2 linked regions of the Rattus norvegicus genome follow. Each later gene encodes a partner of the first gene's protein in a complex. Links are inferred from orthologs where the notes say so. Each region holds a gene or a part of one and is shown on either strand. Other genes may lie near its edges.

Region 1 (4,712 bases):
CACTTGTGACTGCTAACCTACGTTTTTCTCCTGTATAGTCGGTGGAGGGAGGGGCCGTGGTTGGTTCTGCTGTTGTTTTATTTTGTTTTTGAGACTGAGTCTCAAACGGTAGAGCCCAGGTTAGCCTAGAACTTACTGTGGAGCCTAACCTGACCTCAAACTGATAATTTTCCTACCTCACCCTCTTGCATACTGAGATTTTTCTGCACAGAGTACCATACCGGGTCTTATAAATTTTGCATTGGAAAGCATACTTCTTTTTTGAGATTGTTTTGGTTATTCTGGGTCTTTTACATTTCCCCATGAACTTTGACACCAGTTTGTCCACATGAGGCATCTTAGAGAAACAGCCACTTATCAGCAGATGTGGAATTACTTCAGTATTTTTATGTGTATGTGTATGGGGGTGCCTGTGCGTGTGTGTGTGTCTGTGTGTGTGTGTGTGTGTGTTAGAGAGAGAGAAAGAGAAAGAGAGAGACAGACAGACAGACAAGAGACAGAGACAAAGAGACAGACAAGAGACAGAGACAAAGAGACAGAGATAGAGAGGGAGGGAGAAATGGAGAGAGGGAGAGAGAAAGCCAGGGTCAACCTTAGGGGTCATTCTTCGATAACTAGCTACCGTGTTTATTGAAACAGAGTCTCTCATTGGTCTGGAGTTCACCAAGTAGGGTATACTGGCTAGCCAGGAAAGCTCAAAAGATCCCCCTGTCTCCACCTCCCCAAATTTTTAATGTGGTCTCTGAAAATCAAACTCATGTCTAAGTTATCTCCCCAGCCCATCAACAAATATGGAATTGTTTCCATATTTTAACATCTAGTGTGGCTATACTGGTTATGTCCTAGCTGAATGCCAACTCCAGAAACAGGTAGTCATAGAAAGCTCTATACAGGTTAAATATTACTAGTTACCGCTAGAAATGCCGAGGCTAGCACAGGGCTATAGCTCAGTGGCAAAGCACTTGCCTAGCACGTGTGAAGTCTTGGGTCCAAACCCCAGTACCACAGCAAAAGGAAGAAAAGTCAAAGGCACACAGCATTCTCATACACAAAGCTGGCCTGGGACTCTAACATAAAGCCCTGCAAAGACGGCCACACATGGCACTGTTCTGTCCTAGATTCTCTCAGTTCTGGATGTCTCTGTATTCATGCCTCACACACTCCACACTTACCTGGCTGCCCTTGATATCAGTGTGGGGCTCCCAGGCACCGAAATTCTGCTTGAACATCACCACCAGGCCGATATGCTGATATCGAGGTGCCCCTAAAACCAAGCTTTGGACGCGGTTCCTCGAGATGACTGCAGAAGCATAACCTAAAAGGAATGCTTTAGTAGGCCAAGTGTTTTCACTGCAGACCTGGCCCTCCTTTCCACGGTAGGGCCATTCTCAAGTAAGGGAATAGAGCATCCCCATGCTTGATGTGTCGGTGTAATTACTGTGAACACAACTAAAAGTAAATGTTTAAAAAAGAATCTCTACGGCTATCCCAAGGGCCAGCAAAAGAGCCAATGGCCTCCATGTCAGCTGACTGATGTCACATCCTCACCCCTTCCTAGAGCACTTACCCAAGTAAGCATCGTTCATGTCTGAATCTATTCTGGTTGTGTTGATGAAAGTGGCTTTATCCTTTGATGGATACAGGAAGGCTCCACCTGCCCAGTCAAAGCTCCCCACGGAGCCCAGCAAGGGACCGTTCTGGGGAAGGGAGCATAACAGGATTGAGAGAAAAAGGAAGTGCGGACCAGTGGTGCCCACCAAAAAGCCTCCCCCATGAAACCCTGCCCCAAACCCTCGAGCCTCCATCATGAGAATCTCCCCTATGACATATGGAAGCATGGTCTATCAATAAAAAGGCTATGGTCGGTGATCTAAGGCAGGATTAGGAGGGAGGACATCTGGCAGGGAGAGGGAGGGGAATTCTGGGAGAGTCAGGCTGGAAAGATTCGCCCTGAACTCGGGAGGAGACGGTTGCATGAGACTGAAGGAGAGGTAACTAGCTATGTGGAAGACATAGACTAGTTTAAACGGGTTATATAATTAACTGAGCTAATCGGGGAACAAGCTGAAGCTTATGGCCTAAGCATTTATTAACATGTAACTAAGCCTCAGAGTCGTTATCTCTGGGAACAAAGAGGCCAGATGCAGGACCACTCACAGAGGTAATGGCAGCGCTAAAGCCTTCTTGAGACATCTCATGCTCAAAGGAGCTGGTACTTCCTGTCTGGGTGCCTGTAAGGAAGAAAATGTCCCTTGTTAAAGCAAGCAGAAAAGCGTAGACCAAATACCCAAAACCTCAAATGCTATCGTCACCACGCAAAGGGAGGCTCTGGTGTTGAACTAAACACATGCACCTCACAGGGATGGCAGCCCTTCTGTCACTGCTACCTTTTCCAAGGAAAAATGGGGTCCTCCAGATATTTAACCTTCCAACTTTTCCACAGAAACCATAGATCCAGGTGACATGTGGAGTGCCCTATTCAGTCAGGTGTGGTAGCACATACGTGTAGCACTTGAGAGGCTGAGGCAAGACTACCAAGAGTTCAAGGTCACCCTGGACTACAAGGTAAGACTAGAACTCAAAAATATATCCCTCTAAACATTTATCAAACTTGTAAATGTATTCAATAAATCCTTGTTGACCATTTCTCTGTAGCACACACCAGGCAGAGGAGATGTGACAGTAAGTCAAACAGTGCTCATAGCAGACATAAATTCTTGGTAAAACATTGTGCAGGATTTGAATCCACTGTGCTACAGTTTGATCATCGTATACCCTAGACCTGAGAATTAAAGACAAAAATCTAGCTTTGCTTATTCAAAAGGATGGAGCAAGTCAGACCCAAATGGCTGGAGAGGAGCTGACGCTGGGGTCCAGATGCTAAGTAGGAACCGCTGGTCTGCACTGGCCGGCTCACCCTCAATTGCAAAGATCTTTTCCTGGAGCTGGTTCCGAATGGTATTCAGAGCTTCAAAGTTGTCCACTTGGAACACGTGATCACCAGCTGGCTTAGACGCGATGGTGTCAAGCTCTCTGCGGGACTGTGGTTTGTGGAAGGCGTTTCCCACCTGTTGCCAAGGAATCAAGTTATATGTTCTCTAATGGTAGCAGTCCCGTGTAGCAAAGAAAATCCCTTGATGAAAGAATCTGAAACTCTTTCTGTCCCATAAAGAGTTCAGCAGAAGGCTTCTTAGAACAGGACTGTCGGGGACAGTTAGGCAGGTTGCACAGAGCATGGGGAGCAATGTGGTCTCCAGATGGCCACCCATCTGTTATGCCATTCCTCCTGGTATGGGGCTGACATCTCGCCAGCAAAAGAGATTCCTTTTTTTATTATTATTTTGCTTATAAGTCTACCTTTTTCTCTCTGTGTGTGTATGTGTGTGTGTATGTCTGTGTGTCTGTGTGTGTGTCTTTGTGTCTATATGTGTATGTGTTTGTCTGTGTGTCTCTGTATATGTGTGTTTCTGTGTGTGTGTGTGTGCATGCGTGTGTGTGTCTATATGTCTGTGTGTGTGTATGTGTGTGTTTCTATATGTCTCTGTGTGTCTGTGTGTGTATTTGTGTGTCTCCGTGTGTGTGTCAGTGTATTTGTGTGTCTCTGTGTGTCTGTGTGTGCATGTGTGCCTGTGCATGTGTGTGTGTGCATGTGTACATCAGTGTGTGTGTGTATGTGCGCACGCACGTGCATTGTGTGTCTGTAGCCAGAGTTGTCAGATCCCTTGAAGATGGGTTACAAGCTGTTATGAGCCACCTGACCTGGGTGTTGGGAATTGAACTCTGGTCCTCTGGAAAAGCAGTAAGTGCTCTTACTAAGCCGTCTCTCCAGCCCCAAGAGAAGCATTTTTATATGTGAAGGTCCTTCTTATATGCCACACTATCGGTTTATGATGCTTTTTTCTGTTATTCAAGGTGGCTCATAAGCGTAATTACATTGGTGATCTAACATTTTACCTTTCTGGACCCAAACATTTCTCCCAAATTCTGCCATGCCCACCTTGATGGAATATCCTGCCCCACTCACTGTCTTTGTGTCAGCCATGGTTGCTACCAAATGTGATACAAATAGAAGTTTGTTAAAAAACAAACAAACAAACAAACAAAAAAAAAACCACGCCAGCAATATCTACTCCCTCCCCTCTGTCTTTGTCATGAGAGCATCCCCCGGTGAGGCCACTGGAAAATGAGACCCAGCGGGCAGTAGAGCCAAGTTACCCAACTTGTTCCCAGCAAGGCCATCTTCCCAGCAGACAAACATAAATCATCCACAAGTGGGGAGAGCAAAGACAACCCCAGCAGATCTGTCCTCAGCCTGCAGCTAATGGCAGACATGTAAGTGAGTCTTGCTGAGACCAGGAAACAACCTGCTGACTGACAGGCTGACTTATAAAACCCCTGTACTTGGAATTGTTTGTTACACATACAGCATTATTGCGTGAGAGTCTTCCTTTAATTTTACCAATATTTGCACATTGAAGACAAAATGCATTGGTAGAAAATCTCCAGTCTCAACAGAGGTAGCAAGCCCGATATCTGTATTTCCTACCCCAATAACGTAGCGAATGATCCCTGCTTCCTCTGCCTCAGGAATGACATCCTCATAATTTAGGGGGTCACCAAACTTTTCTCCGTCTGTGATGACAACTAGGATCTTCGCGGCATTGTCCCGGGCCCCATTGATTTTCTGAAACAGTTCTCTCCTGTGAGAGAAG
Region 2 (5,253 bases), on another chromosome or scaffold:
CTTATATTTTTGGTCGTCAGCCTAGTCTTTAAATGGCTGAGCCATCTCTCCAGCCCATCCCTGCCTATCCTTAATCCATGAGGAATTACAGTAAAGGTGAGCTGCATCATCAAATTTTCAAGTGTTGCCATAGGTATAAGCCCTCAATGGTGTTTGTTCATAGCTACCCTTTTAAACAAATACCTCACATAGTCATGAAAGACCTGTTGTAGTTACTGATCCAGAAAGATTGTAGTAGCAACATGCAAACTGCTATCTACAAGTCTGGCTCATAGTGCCTAGAAAAATAGCCCAACACAATGGTATCTTGGACAAGTCTTAATCACCAAGAATTGGAAGACTTCCCTAATTGTCCTCAAGCCAATTGACCCAGGATGGAAAAAACAGACCCAGCTCCCAAAGAAGTAGCCCATAACCACATGTTCCTTCACCCTCACTCCCAGGGAGAAAGCACGGCCTGTACCACAGGATACAAAAGTGCTTCTTCCGTTTGCTCATGAGACTGGTGTCCTCACCCAGCCCAGCTTTCCCCACAAAGCATGGGTCACAAGCCGTACAGAGCTCTGCCCTGGTGGATGAGCCAGTATAAAGCACTCTTCAAAGGAAGTCAGGGGAACTCCTTGGTGTGGAGCACCCTTGCTGCCCCACTGCCCTGAGTAGTCTCAATTGGGCCTTATCATCAGTACAAGAGCCAAGGATAAGACCCTTGTTACCATGTTGCCATGTTAAGAGCACAAGTGTTTGGGGAGCTGCCACTTGTAACCTTACTTCTGACTTCAGCCTATTGTTAGCATCTCAGCAGCTCAAACAGCTCGGGCAAATTTAGAGTGTTCCAGGGAACACAGAGAGGCATAAGAGCATGAATGCCAAGCGGGATTGCTACTAAAATGAGAAATCAGAAATATCTGCAAGAGAAAATAAAAACTTAAAAACCTAAAATATTTGATTTCTAAGATTAACTTTGTTGATAGAAACAAACTATTTGGGGATCTTGTGTTATTTTCAGTGTACAGGTTTCTGTGAAAATGCAAACCATGTCGTTGAATTGCAAGGAAACAATTACCCGGTTACAAAAAAGAAAATTCAGATCTTGCTTCAGACTGTTGTTTGTAATGACCAAATAAGAAACATGGAAATTATCTGAAGGTGAGGGTGCATACCTTTAATCCTGGAACAGAAGAAGCAGAGGCAGGCAAATCTCTGTGAGTCAGGGACCAACCTGGTCTACATTGTGAGTTCCAGGACAGCCAAGGCTACATAGAGAAACTATCTTGAACAATAATAATAAAATAAAAAAGAAACAAAGAAAACAATAAAGAAACAAATGAAGAAAAAAGAAACATAAAACTTTCACTAAAGAGGTAAATTGGGGTTCTGGATTACAATTAAATACTATATAATACACACAATACAATATGTAGAATATTCTATTCTCATCCCCCATGGGATATTATTTAGGAATCAGATGACGAAACTTCGTGTTAACAGTAGGTCTGTTTCTCTCACAGCTCTACCACTGATAATATAAAGTGTTTGAGCCACAAAGAAACACTTTGATCCAGAGAGGGGCTAGGGTTTATAGCTAGCTGGGTGGGGCCTGGAGAAGGCATTGTAAATAAAGGCAGTCTGCTAGGTGAGAAAGACCTGGTCTGTGAGCAGCAGGAGAAAGATTGCCTTCGTCTAAAGACTTTAACTCTGATGAGAGAATTTTTTAAAGTTTCTTATAGTTCAAAAGCATGGTATTGGGGTTTTAAAATAAAGTGACTTCATTTTGATAAGAAATAACCATTATTGGTGGTCTAAAATAACACAGGTCCCAAAGAGGAGTGGGAGGATACCCTAGTTTCCCTTGAATTGAACTGGACTATAAGTGTTTCTAATGGCTTGGCCTTGAAGGCACATCATTTACTTTAAAAGGACATAATGAATCTGGAAAAGACCAGCCTTCTAGTCTGTGTTGGCCGACTTCTCTTTTGTTTCGTTCTCATTACCTTTTAATATTCTCACAAAACAATTCATTCCCAGATGATCAAAGGGCCAAAATGGGCTGTACCGTTTCATCAGCTCCACATTTGCCTGTGAAATTGCTCCATTATGTTGTTAGTTCAAAAGCTTTTCTTTGGTAGTTCCTGAAGTGCCTCCCAGGCACTTCCCTCCAACACACACACACACACACACACACACACACACACACACACACACACACACACACACACACACACACACTTTCTTAAACTATGCCTGGTAGTTTCAAGAGGAAAGATGTCGACCCGTTAGAATGCTCTTACTTTGTTCTCCCCTGAGGTGAGCATTCTTTCCTTCCTTGAGGCACCCACTCTACTTCCACCGTCTCACTCTGCCCCTACAGCTCCAAAGTCCTTATTACTAGGGAGACAAGAACTAGTTAGCAATCTGTGTGCGAATTACACATGTGCTCTTGTATTTATGTTCCACATCATATTCTGTAGAAATGTGTGTGTGTGTGTGTGTGTGTGTGTGTGTGTGCACGCACACACATTTTAGAACAGAGGAAAGGTTATGTTTTATGCGCAAAAAAAAAGAAGTGACTACGTTCTCAAAATACATAAATACATTATGGTAACAACTGGGATATCACCTCAGAAATTCTGTGTGTCTGCCAAACTAGTCTTTACCACATCCCTGGTTTATTTGGCGAAAACTGAAAATGTAAGTGCTCATGTGCCAGTTAGCACCCCAACCAAGCAAAGGTAGAATCCAAGGCATGTCTTTGAAACTTTGGACTGAACTGTTTCTAGAAGCATTCCTGGGCCGGCGGGCAGGCAAGCTAGGGAGTGCAGGCTGTTCTGGAGAGATGCTTCTCCATCAGCAGACACAGGAGGGGCAGGCTGCCAGGCATGTACCACACCTAGAGCGGGCAGCAGTTGGCAGTTGGCAAGCTCTAGGGCAACCTGAGAAGTGGAGGCAGGAAAATGAGACCTGCCTGCTGGAACACCCTTCCTTCTCTCTCGCCGACTGGGCCAGACACACCCACCAAAAGCTCCAGGCTTTACAAAGAGCACAAATGTGCCCTCTCCCGCGCTTTGCATGCTCCAGCAGGTAGCAGGAATGCCATCCCCATGCACTCTCCCTCCTCAGCACAAAAGCTGCTTTCCTTCTTCCCATCCAAGCACAGGCTAGGTTACTGAACTCGTCCCCCCAAATTTCCGTTCGGCTGGTTTGCCTTCTGGAGCAAGTCCGTTTCTTAAAGGCAGTCCTATTTAGCGGACTCCAGGCAGCTTCTCTCCAGTTCCAACCCCCACGTACTGCAGGCTGCCAGGAAAAGTGGCTTTGGGGTAGGCACACTCCACCAGAGACCCTTTGGGGGAAATCCACAGGGTGCCTTGCACTTACTTTGGCTTGCAGATGTCCTTGCTGACTAGCAGGCTGCCTTTGTTGCAAAGTGCAGGGCGAGGTTTCTGCAACGGACTCCAGGTATCGCTGGCTGCTGCTCCTGCCTGGGCGGCTGCGCTCTCCCCCCTTCTGGATGGATGACTCAGTGCTTTCTTTCTTCCCCTCTCTCCACTTTGGATTTTCTTGTGCTCTGGGGCTTCCTTGGCGGGATTTTTGGACGGGAAGGCGGGGAACCTGATCCTGCCTTCACTCAATTACACCCTGCCGGGGAGGGAAATAGAGAATGGGAGGGAAGAGAGCGGGCAGAGAGAAGAAGCAGGCTGTGCGAGGGAGGGGGGAGTGCTTTGCCCCCGAAATCTGATTGGGAAGCTTATGAAAAGCCGGCTACTCTGGGGGCAGTCTTTCCCCAAACGGATTTGCGTAGAAAGACCATGGGATATAAGACCATTTGTTCTTAGCATCCACCCAGCACGGTATTTCTTGTACAAACTCCCAAGCACTGGTTTTTCCCCCTCCCATGGGTCCACACCTCGACTTATCGATCTGGATACCTTAATTTCTTTCTTTCTTTCTCTCTTTCTCTCTTTCTCTCTTTCTCTCTTTCTCTCTTTCTCTCTTTCTCTCTTTCTCTCTTTCTCTCTCTCTCTCTCTCTCTCTCTCTCTCTCTCTCTCTCTCTCTCTCTCTCTTTCTTTCTTTCTTTCTTTTTTTTTTCCGGAGCTGGGGACCGAACCCAGGGCCTTGCGCTTCCTAGGTAAGCGCTCTACCACTGAGCTAAATCCCCAGCCCCGATATCTTAATTTCTTAATCGGAAAATTGATTGCATTTTAAACTGCAGTTTTGGTCAGGCGCTTAAAAAGAAAACAACAACAACAACAACAACAACATGATATTCAGGTTTGAGGGAGCGATGTGCAAAGGCAGCTGTCCCTTGCTCTCCACCCCTAAAGGCCTCCCTGCCCGGAGTCCCTGCTAACTTCAGTTGCTACTTGCAGCTCACCTACAGTCACAAAGCCCCAAAGCACTTTTTCTGGGTTGTCACAAGGAGTGACAGATCTCTGAACATTCCCAATTAAATGTCACTTTCCTTTAGGGGATTTTTCCATTCCTGGCTTCTTCGGTGCCTCCGGGGTCACATATTTTGTGACACTGACATGCTCTTGGCAAAGAACGCAGGGTTATAATCAGTGCGGCTCAAGCTCTGGGCTTTCTAAGACTCAGAGGGTGGACACTCCTGGCGTTCTGAGATCTGCCTCTCCTTTAACCAAGGAGAGCATAAAGTGACAGACCAGTATTGAGTGTCACATAGAAAGTGATGGGAAAAGATGGCGTAAATCTCCAATTTACCCAAACAGGTCCAAATTATAAAACTGGCTCCAATTTTCTCACCGTCCCAAAGATACATCTCGTCAACTCAACTGGTAGATCCTATGGATTCTATAGGTGCTTTAAGCCCTCAGGTCTCAAGACCACTCCTTTCCTAAATTTAGAACCATTAGTCTATGGCAAGCAGTTTTAAGGACTGCGGGTCTTCTATTGACTGATACCTGTGCCAGTGCACAAGAGTCATCTCCAGACAAAGGTGTCCCTGCAGGAGTAGAGCTTTTAGTCCATCAGTCTTGGTTTGTTCCACCTCCCCATGTCCCCCAAGGAAAGAATCGGCGGAAATTCATTTGCACACCTGATCTGTCTTCCTTACAGACTATCCTCTTCACGCATACCTTCCTCAAGACCAATTCCCAGACTGTGCACGTCCCTGTTTGAAAGTTCACCTGTGCCATGAAGCAGTGCATGTGTGTGCATCCGGTTTCACCTGTGCACATCATGAATTACTCACAAGCTTTCTTTGGCCAGCCCCCTTACTGTAAGAGAGGTTCAACAGT

What was found. Proteins that work in one complex are often made in the same cells at the same time.
Region 2: the proteins of Itgam (region 1) and Ptn are in contact, whole or in part, in an NMR structure (PDB 8VOH), measured with the Homo sapiens proteins. The link is inferred for Rattus norvegicus from reciprocal best matches to the Homo sapiens genes ITGAM and PTN. Residues at the interface, in NP_000623.2 of Homo sapiens: Pro273, Asp276, Arg277, Gly279, Val280, Ile281, Arg282, Tyr283, Lys306, Pro307, Arg309, Asp310, His311, Ala334, Ile335, Glu336, Gly337, Thr338, Gln339; in NP_001308315.1 of Homo sapiens: Val56, Pro57, Thr58, Ser59, Asp61, Cys62, Gly63, Leu64, Thr66, Glu68, Thr79, Lys81, Thr82, Gln83, Arg84.

What each region holds. Positions count from the first base shown.
Region 1 is NC_086019.1:192,106,148-192,110,859, reverse strand, and holds part of Itgam (integrin alpha-M precursor), read right to left. Parts: intron 4,701-4,712; coding exon 4,547-4,700; intron 3,069-4,546; coding exon 2,918-3,068; intron 2,232-2,917; coding exon 2,158-2,231; intron 1,698-2,157; coding exon 1,568-1,697; intron 1,316-1,567; coding exon 1,173-1,315; intron 1-1,172.
Region 2 is NC_086022.1:66,338,896-66,344,148, forward strand, and holds the start of Ptn (pleiotrophin precursor), read right to left. Parts: upstream 3,438-5,253; 5' UTR 3,373-3,437; intron 1-3,372.